Linked DNA regions of Saccharomyces cerevisiae S288C. Changing the gene in region 2 together with the main gene of any one other region gives a genetic interaction. Each region holds a gene or a part of one and is shown on either strand. Other genes may lie near its edges.

Region 1 (6,331 bases), on a different chromosome or scaffold from region 2:
ATCCACATGGTATACAAAACAGTGGTAATCCATGTCGGAGACAATAAGTTTTGGCAACCGTTGTAACGAGCGATACCATATCTAAATACTTGTAACAGATATGAAAATCCCATGACCATGACAGGTGTGAACAAGCTAATCACAAGGTCCTTGACGATTTTCGTCCATGATGAAAGATCCGGTAAAACACTATCTGCCTTCAAAATTGTATGCAAGTTGTAAATGATGTTGGTAACGGCACATGATATGCCAATATTCGCACCAACCTGCAACTTGATGACAATATCACACCAACCTTTACCATCCCATCTCGTGAGGAAATCGTCGTCACTCCATATTGCCGCATCTACAATACACGTTAAATTCATTGTAAGAAGCCATGTTATCAAAATGATTGCTGGAATATTCTTGGTATGTGAATGCCATGCTAAAGGGGGAGCTAATAGTATCACAGCTAGCAAACAAAGCCCTATTATTGCTGACTTGTATGACATGAAAATTTTGATAGTATTTTGCCTTTCCTACACAAATTTAATTGCCTCTAAAGTTAAAAAGCAATAAAATAGAATATGTGAATACTGCACAAAATGAATACTTGGGAATTCAGAAATTATTCTTACCTTAAGCATCCACTCATATACATATATATATATATATATGTCTTTTCAAAAGACTTCTGCCCAAATTGTGGAGAGAACTCTGCCTCTCCGTGATAACGGCCAAATGAAACGCATCCAATGATGCAATTATTGACAAAGTTTCAAAGTTTCCGCCATTATTCCTTCATTTACACATTGATAGTCGAGAAGTTTCCTAATTAGTGTCACAATGACAGAGAAAATTGTACCAGCGCTTCTAACGAAAATTAGCACCCATACCCAGAGTTCATAAATCTGGCAATGTGGTACAATAATATAGGATTGGTAACATTTCAATTGTAAAATGTTTAACGTTTAGAGAAAAGGGGAGCCAGAACGCTTCTGGTGGTGTAAATACGGAGAAGTCACCTTAAATAGTTTTGTTCTGATAATTGCATTTTTTTGGAAAGATTTGGCTGCTTAAAAGATTCAAGCAATCAAGAGAAACATTACAAGGCCTGCTTGGCCGGTCTACTAGGCTGAAATAATAAGTTTCTGATTATGGTTATCACGGTAAATGATTACGAAAGGGTAAAGCAACGAATGGTTGTTTTATGGTAAGAATACTTTGGCGAATCAACAAATTGAAGTTGCGCAATGTGCGATTCGCTTATGTATCAAAAAAAACTAAAAAATGAATAGAGAAAATCATATATATAAAAGAAAAAAATATCGTACACCTCTTAGGTAACTTGGAATATATTAAACATGTAAAGAAGGAGAAAACATTAACCTGCATTACAATAATGAACAAGAGATGAAAAAATCCGTAAAGCTTCTGAATCGCGAAGCTCACTATCTATTCCATTATCATCATATAACATCATTGCACTCTTTATACTATTTTCAACAAAATTAACGCAGTTTTCCAAACTAGTACTTAGCTTGCCAATCTTGCCACAGGAAAAGATTTTTCTGGTCTTCTGTTTCAACACGTACTTCCTTTTTCCGACAAAATTCTCATCATAGATATTCTGGTTGCTGTTATTGTTGTTATTGCCAGTAAACTCTCTTTTCAATGCGACATCCCTAATGTCCCTTGAACGTAACGATACTAATAGACTTCTTGTGTAATCCGCCTTTAACAGGTCAATCTTCATAGAATTTGTTATTCTGCTCTCTGATTCTTGACCAGCAGGACATGCTTGCAACTGGAAAAAATTGTTAAAATGGGTTAAATACATTGTATATTTCGGCAATAGTTCCAGAGGTTTATTCATCAAGCCATCATCAATATCAGAATCAGTAGTCAAAATATCCGCATAAGAAGAGTTACCTGGAAAAATTTCGTAAGTGGAATTAAGGTCAGCCAAAGAGGGCTGACATATTCTTTCAAAAGCCTCATCCAAAAGATCATCCTGAGAGATCCTTTGGCAATCTCTTTTCAACTCAACGTTCTTTAGTGGAAATTTATATGATATATTCTTAACCAATGGGGGTGCGTGAGACACATCTCCAACATTAGGAGAGCCAGGTGTGCCCATCCAAGGATACTCATCATATTCGCTGATAGACGGTGATTGTTGCGGAGTGGTTAGTGATAACCTGGAGGTTGCTTGCTGCAAAGAAGACGAACTTGAAGTCCTTTGCATATTTCCAGCAGTTGTTTGCAGCCTCTCCCACGACTCGTTGTGTTTTAAAGAAGGGCTTGGTTGAAAGAACTGAGAAATTGTTGGCCTTTTGTTGAACCAAGAACCGTACGAACCAGGTTGGCTTGAGATAGAAGACGATAGATAATGCAATGAACTACTCCCACTTTTGAAGGAAGATGGCTGAATAACTTCCGCTAAAGACTCACTAGAAGACACAGATACTGAAGTGTTCGAGTTCCTCCGATTGGGTATTTGCCATCCTTTCCTCAAAGAATGGAAATTGGGTGATCCAATGCTGTTAGAGCTCACATTACTGTTGTTGTAATTATGATTGCTATTATTTTCTGTGCGACTCAAAAGGTTGTCTGTTGAAGTCAGTGTGCTCAATTCCGTCTCAGGCTTATCGACAAAATTATTGTTAGACTTATTTCTTGATACAGCGGACGAATCCGATCTTATGTTTTCCCGCCGTATCGTTATTTGTCCCTTGTACTTTGGCTCCAATAAAGCCGATAAGATGAACAGTAACTTGTTAGCAACCACCATGTTTCCTGACAGGATTACGATCTTGGATGTCTTTAGTTCTCTTATAGTGTGCCTGTAATCAGATATAATCATTGCCATTAGGAGAGGAAGGAAGCCTAGTTTCGGTCCATCTTTGATTTCAATCCAATTAAATATACTTTTGAACCAAACGTGAACGAATTCTTTAAATGTCTCAGGGTAAAGGAAAAGCCTAGGAATCTCAGACATAGAACGTAAACCTGGTATGACTCTTTTTTGTAAAGTTTGCACCATTATTTCAATTTCCTTGGGATAATGCGTCCTGATGTCAATATTTGACAATTTTATGACTGAATTATTGCTGTAATTGCCAGTATTTTCTTGCATAATACGGTTTTTAGTCAAGAAACCAATGAGCATTTTTTGAGTCTGGGTCAACCATGATGAAATGGAAGACCACGACTCTGCAACTACGGGCAACAATATCCTCGGTATGCATAAGCTAATTGCGATGCGGTTGTATTGGTGTGTGTAATAGAAAATTCTAGTTATGAGTACCAAATCCGAGTTAGGAATCGTCCTTATCTTGTCGCACTGCGTCAAATCGGAAGATCTTACGGGAGAACCAAATATATATTCCTTCAATTCACTCGGCCGTATCTGCTCCATCGAATTTGAAATCTTTGACGTAGTGTAATCGAAGATATCACGGTAGTTGTTCCTACACGCCATTTGACCCGCTTCCTCAATGATCAAAATCCTGAATGCATACGTTTTTTCGTTAATAGACGTGATTTTATCAGTACCAAGACCTCCGTTGTTTTGTAACGTATCGATAGGACGACTATAAGGAATATCCCTCGAGCCGAAAAGCTTCAGTTTTAAGTCATCCGATATATGATCTAAAATGGGCGGAGAAGTCGTTGATAGCATTTCCGAAGGCTTTTCCACATTGACTGCAGTATCTAAAAGAGCTCCAGCAGCGGTCTTAGTAGTTCCTGTGCTTGCCGCTTTGCAGTATACAGGGACATTGGGAACTACGGAGGAAAAATCGGAATGCTCTGAGCTCTTCTCAAAACCAGACGAACTCGTCTTATTTCTCAGTAAATTACCCAACATATAAACTCTCCCTCTTCACCTTCTCTACAAGGCCACACACAAGACAGTTTTAACAGGCAAATGGTACTGGAGGCTCTCACCAATGGGGTTTAAGACGCTCCAAACACACGCTCTCCTTTTTTTCTTTATATATCGGTAGCAACGAAAGCTAGTCGCAGAACGTTACACACTAAAGCAGATCAATCAATCAATCCTGAGAACCTGCTTCGTTCAAACCATCCACTAGAAGAAACACGCACGTGTACCCAAAAATAGAGACAAACAAACAGACAAAAATAACAATGATTCCTACCGACTAAAGTAAAACAACACTCACGTAATAAAAAATCCTAGATACAACTCACTTGTATTCCTCTCTTCTTTGACCATCACTAAAGCTTCTCTCTTACTATATTCCTCAAATAAAAAAAAGTTGCAATGATTACTTACCAATGTGCCATAAACTCCGTGCACCACACTAGCCTTCGATTTGACACATCTCTAAGCTGAAACTGAGAATACTGTTGTAAAACAGGTATTGGCTGCTTCATAGTACACCCAATTGCCCACAACCCAAGTTAATCATAAGCTCTTGTTGTCGATGAATTGCTCAAAATGTGGCCATTCTTTCAATTTTGCACCTCTAAAACTGCTCCGTGGGTTGTGACAACAACCTTAAGGGTAATGGACTTTTTTAGAAAGACAAATGAGATGATTTCACCTACTGGTATATCATTTATTTATACACGACCGTTTTGACATTTCAGAGTTGCACGTTGGTATATCCTAATATTCTCACAAGCATCACAGTGAAGAAACGCAAGAAAATGGAAAAAATTCCCAGGTGGTTGTTGTTTTCTCTTATATCGTCGGTGCTGTGCATACTTGGGGCCCTGTGTGTGCCGTTGTTATCGGTTGCCTTCGATAGCAAGCGCAATAGCCAATCTAAGTTGGTCAACTATGGTCTTTCTCTAAGTGCCGGATCTATGATCACTACTTCACTATACATGCTATTGCCTCGGATCGAAAAATCAAACCGGTTCAAGGTTTTTCCTGGATTGCTTTTGGGTATTTGCCTCAGTTTTTTCTTAAACTACCTAGTCCACGCTTTCGCCAGCGAATCGTTGGTACACTGTGCTGATAGCGGTGACCATGCTACAGGTTCACATATACACTCCAAATCACATTCGCATTCGCACTCACACTCACATGCGGATTCGCATTCGAATTTTAGCAACGATCATGATTTAGAAAATGCTCCCTCTGAGCATGGTTATGCAACATCTTCTTCCAGTGTTTCTGAAAATGACCCGTTGATTACAAAGGATAGCGATAGACCCCAAATGAAAAAGAAAATGTCCCTAATTGACTTATTAACCAGAAGGAAATCAGAAGGCGAGTGTTGTGACCTAAACAAGTGCACTCCGCTCTTGCAATCAGAGCAGCCAGAATATATTGCATGTGTCCCACCAGTGATAAAGTCTTCTCAAAGTGAAAGAAACGTGCCACATGGATGCGAGGGATCAGAAGATAATGGACAATCCGATGACAAGGATCATCGTGGCCTTGTATGCGTGGAAAATAATATCGGTTACGATCTTGAAAACCTATCGTTGTACCGTAAGAATTTTCTTTCGAGCCGCCATCATCATTCCTCTGAATCGCCCGAAAATTATGGTTCCAACCAGTTGTCGCACTCTTTTTCGTCACCTTTGGGAAATGATGTAACTGAGAATCCGGCCGCATTGGCAGACACACAATACCATCCCGAAAATGGTTCATTATACCCCCACCATCATCACTTAGAGACCCCTTTTTCCAAATTACTGTCTATTGGTATGCAAACTTGTCTAGTCCTTGCATTACACAAATTTCCCGAAGGGTTTATTATTTTTTACACTAACAGGTCAGATTCGTCAAAGTCCTTGGGATTTTCCATTTTTTTAAGTTTGACGATCCATAATTTTGTCGAAGGATTTGCAATGACGTTACCATTCTACACTGTTTTCGAATCTAAATGGGTTGCCATTTTGATTACTGCCGTTCTCGGTGGTGGATCTCAACCATTAGGTGCATTGATAGGTTATTTCATCTTTAAAGGTAGTACTCCAAGGGATCACGAACCCAACATGGATTTTTTACTGAGCGTTACTGCAGGGTTCCTATTAGTAATTGGTTTACAAATGTTCCAAACTGGTATCGGATTTAGCGATGGACATCATCATCATCAAGGAGAAGGTGATGAAGAAATGAAACAGTCCCATAGCTCAGGCACAACTTGCTTGAAATGGTGCTGCACTGGCGTTTTGCTAATTCTAGCGAGTGCCCTTTTCACTTGATAAATTAAAACTACGTATATTCTTTCTATATAAGTCTTTTCCCATTAAATAACGGTGTATAATCACGATCATATATCATATATCATATCTACGATCATCGGCAAGATCAAATTCTTGTTCTGCTGTATGGTGCTCATCACCATAATCGGTTATCACGTTT
Region 2 (3,217 bases):
CCTTTCTTTTGGGTGTCGCGATGAATTCATAGTCAGTACGGCTTTATCGAAGACATTGTTTAAGGTAGAGTCATCATCGCCATGATAGATGCCATATTTTTGCATAGACATTGGTATGGAATGAGAGGGTATAGTATTAGTTTGCATGTCTGAATCAAGAGACATTTCACCGCTCTCCATGGTTGACGAGTCGTTATTAGAATAACGTTCTTCGGAATATTCAGATCCTAAAAGGGACTTCCCATATGATGAGCCAGGAGTGATTCGGTCACGATTTTGTGCATTGAATTCATTGCTATTACTGCGGCTGTCTTTTGAATCCCTGTTCATGACCGCCGTTCCATCATTTGTAGATTCATGTCCTCCCAAATCAGATACTGTTTTGTTTATGTTTGAGGTCACTGTATCAAAATTCAAATCATCTAAATCTTTTTCATTGATATAAGATTCCATATCGGAAATATTGTTGCTTTCCGTTTCCGTCAAACCGTCCCTACTCACCGATCCGTTACCGCTGGCGCTGCTTCCATCTCCATGTATACCTTTATTGGCATTCAGTGAATCAGATTTTTGTCCATCATTTTTATTGTCAGTTAAAAAAATTTTCCCCTTTTGACTTGTGGGGAAATGAGATTTTAACCTTGAAGCACTTCCTATATTGCCATTTGAACTCTCTCGATCATCAAGAATGCTGATGCTGTTTCTGTTATTTGTGTAGGTGTTGTTTTTATTGTTGGACATGCCGTTGATGCCTTTGTGGGCTGGACTTGCTCCAGAACCCTTAGCATCAAAATCATCATCTAACTGAAAAAATTGAGAGTGTATATCGTCACCTTCTTCGTCATCGTCGTCGTCATCATCTTCTTCTTCTAAGTTTTCATCGAAATCGAAGTTCATATCGAATTTACTGCCTTTCTTATTATGGCGAGCACCAGGTGGATGCAAAGTAGATGATTTTGCTCTTGTATTAGTTGTATTCATGACATTTTTATTTCCAGAAGTATTTGAGTGGTCCCTTCGACTTTTGAATATCCTCACGAAAGGAAGCGACGATCTCTTACTAGATTTCTTCTGCATTTCCATCGAACTATTTAAATATGAGTCTTCCTTTGAGGAAGTTTTGTGATGTTTTCCACTGGTATGGTCGTCATCATTTAAAAGAGAGTTCGACGCAGATGAATTAAGTGGATTATAACGAAGTGTTCCATTTTCTTCAACTATCAGAGTATTTTTTGCACTTTTATCTTGCAAATTTCGTGTTTCTTCCTCGTCTCTTTCAGTCTTCTCTGCTCCTATTAAATTCTGGTTAGCCTTTCCTTTTTGGCCTTCATTCTCCCTCATTATCCTCATTTTCCCTAATGAAGCATAGTTTTCCATAAAATCCTTAGATACCGGTGGAGACTCTAGTTCAGGTAACAAGCTTACGCCGTCTGAGTTCATATATAATTCACGGATAGAAGAATCTAAGCACTGCTCTGTGTTGAATTCATCTACGGGTATGTACGGTTTTATTATTCTTTTCATTTGATCTTTCTCCGGACACACTCGTAGAAACTGAGCCCGCAGTTCATTTAATACCGTCACCGTGTCCATTATCGTCTTATTATGGTGTGGTGGGGGTTTTACAAACACTGTTTTATTTAGTTTTCCTGTTCAGTAGCCTGTATCTATTGAGAATTATTATACCGTATATTTTTTGACGCGGGCTGATATGTAAGGTCGGCTAAAAAAAAGAAAAATTTCAAAAGTTAAACTAACCTCATCGCAACCACAATCCATTTAAAGCCTGGTTCTAGAGGCTTCATAGACGTTTACAGATTTAATAAAGTAGATAGCGTACAGTTTTAATGGCTCTCTCTTCAAACTGGCAGGCACTATTAGCCTCCGAAAGCAATCCTACCTCCAATGGAAAGAATAAGCAATCAAATAGGAAAATCAGAAACGTTAAGAAAGTTAGCAAAACAGTAAATGTCAGTAGTACAACCCAATATGCCCCTCGAAAGCGCAAAAACGGCAGTAAAATTATGGACATGGTATATAACATGAACAAGGAGATTAGTAAGCATGAGAAAGACAAGCTCGAGGGAAAAGTGTTTGAATTCAACCCAAATAAAGCAAATACTAGTACTACTATTAAAGAGCCAGTAAAAGTGGGTATTTCGGAAGATACTCGTATTAATAGTAATAAGAGTAAAGAAATTGGGAAATACATCGCCATGGATTGTGAATTTGTAGGCGTTGGTCCCGAGGGTAAAGAGTCTGCGTTAGCTAGAATATCAATCGTAAATTATTTTGGACATGTCGTCCTCGATGAATTTGTTAAGCCAAGAGAGAAAGTTGTAGAATGGAGAACTTGGGTTAGTGGTATTAAACCAGAGCATATGAAAAATGCCATTACATTCAAAGAAGCTCAAAAAAAGACTGCGGATATTCTGGAAGGTAGAATTCTTGTAGGGCACGCTTTAAAGCATGATCTCGAAGCATTGATGTTATCCCACCCAAAGTCACTACTCAGGGACACTTCAAGACACCTCCCATTCAGGAAGTTGTATGCTAAGGGTAAAACACCCAGCTTAAAGAAATTAACCAGGGAGGTTTTAAAAATTTCCATTCAAGAAGGTGAGCATTCTTCAGTCGAAGATGCTCGTGCCACCATGCTATTATATAAAAAGGAAAAAACGGAATTTGAAAAAATTCACAGAAACACTTTCAACTAAGACGGTAGATGAATGGCCCCTTTTATTCTTACAATTAAAATGCATTGGTATGTACATTAGTCTATGTGGCGCTTGAATTTACTGAGCCATTCATTACACGATAGAATATATAAAAATTGTAGCTGTATAAAAGCAACCCACGTAACAAATTGCGAAAAATTAGCGATAAGAAAACCCTAACATGAGATATGTACATTCATGCTTACAGATAGATATTGATATTTCTTTCATTAGTTTATGTAACACCTCTAAGCAGAACATGACATCCTTGATAAAATCATTGTCATTATTCTCTTACGTTCATAGATATCTTCAGGTTTTACATCTAAAGGTATCATCATGTCGGAGTTCTTCGCAAATATACCAGAAGAAGTCACAATCGATAAACCTCTTTTGGTTAGACGTTCAATGGATTCTTCGTGAAGTTTTTCTAACGAATTAGACTCTGAATGCGTCACTAATAAGTTTAAAATATCGAAAGCAAGTGGAACACAATCCGA

The links. A genetic interaction does not mean that the proteins touch.
Region 1: mutations in REX4 (region 2) and LST4 together harm fitness more than expected from each alone (negative genetic interaction), as found in Saccharomyces cerevisiae (2 studies listed by BioGRID).

Annotation. Positions count from the first base shown.
Region 1 is NC_001143.9:114,134-120,464, forward strand, and holds LST4 (Lst4p), read right to left. Parts: upstream 3,854-6,331; coding exon 1,367-3,853; downstream 1-1,366. Other genes in the region: STE3 (Ste3p), read right to left, coding at 1-494; Zn(2+) transporter ZRT3, read left to right, coding at 4,660-6,171; TPO5 (Tpo5p), read right to left, coding at 6,247-6,331. UniProt on the Saccharomyces cerevisiae protein: Involved in extracellular amino acid uptake. Required for the trafficking of the GAP1 nitrogen-regulated general amino acid permease from the Golgi to the plasma membrane.
Region 2 is NC_001147.6:180,058-183,274, reverse strand, and holds REX4 (putative 3'-5' exonuclease), read left to right. Parts: upstream 1-1,847; coding exon 1,848-2,717; downstream 2,718-3,217. Other genes in the region: AVO1 (Avo1p), read right to left, coding at 1-1,593; Ras GTPase activating protein IRA2, read right to left, coding at 2,966-3,217. UniProt on the Saccharomyces cerevisiae protein: Exoribonuclease involved in ribosome biosynthesis. Involved in the processing of ITS1, the internal transcribed spacer localized between the 18S and 5.8S rRNAs.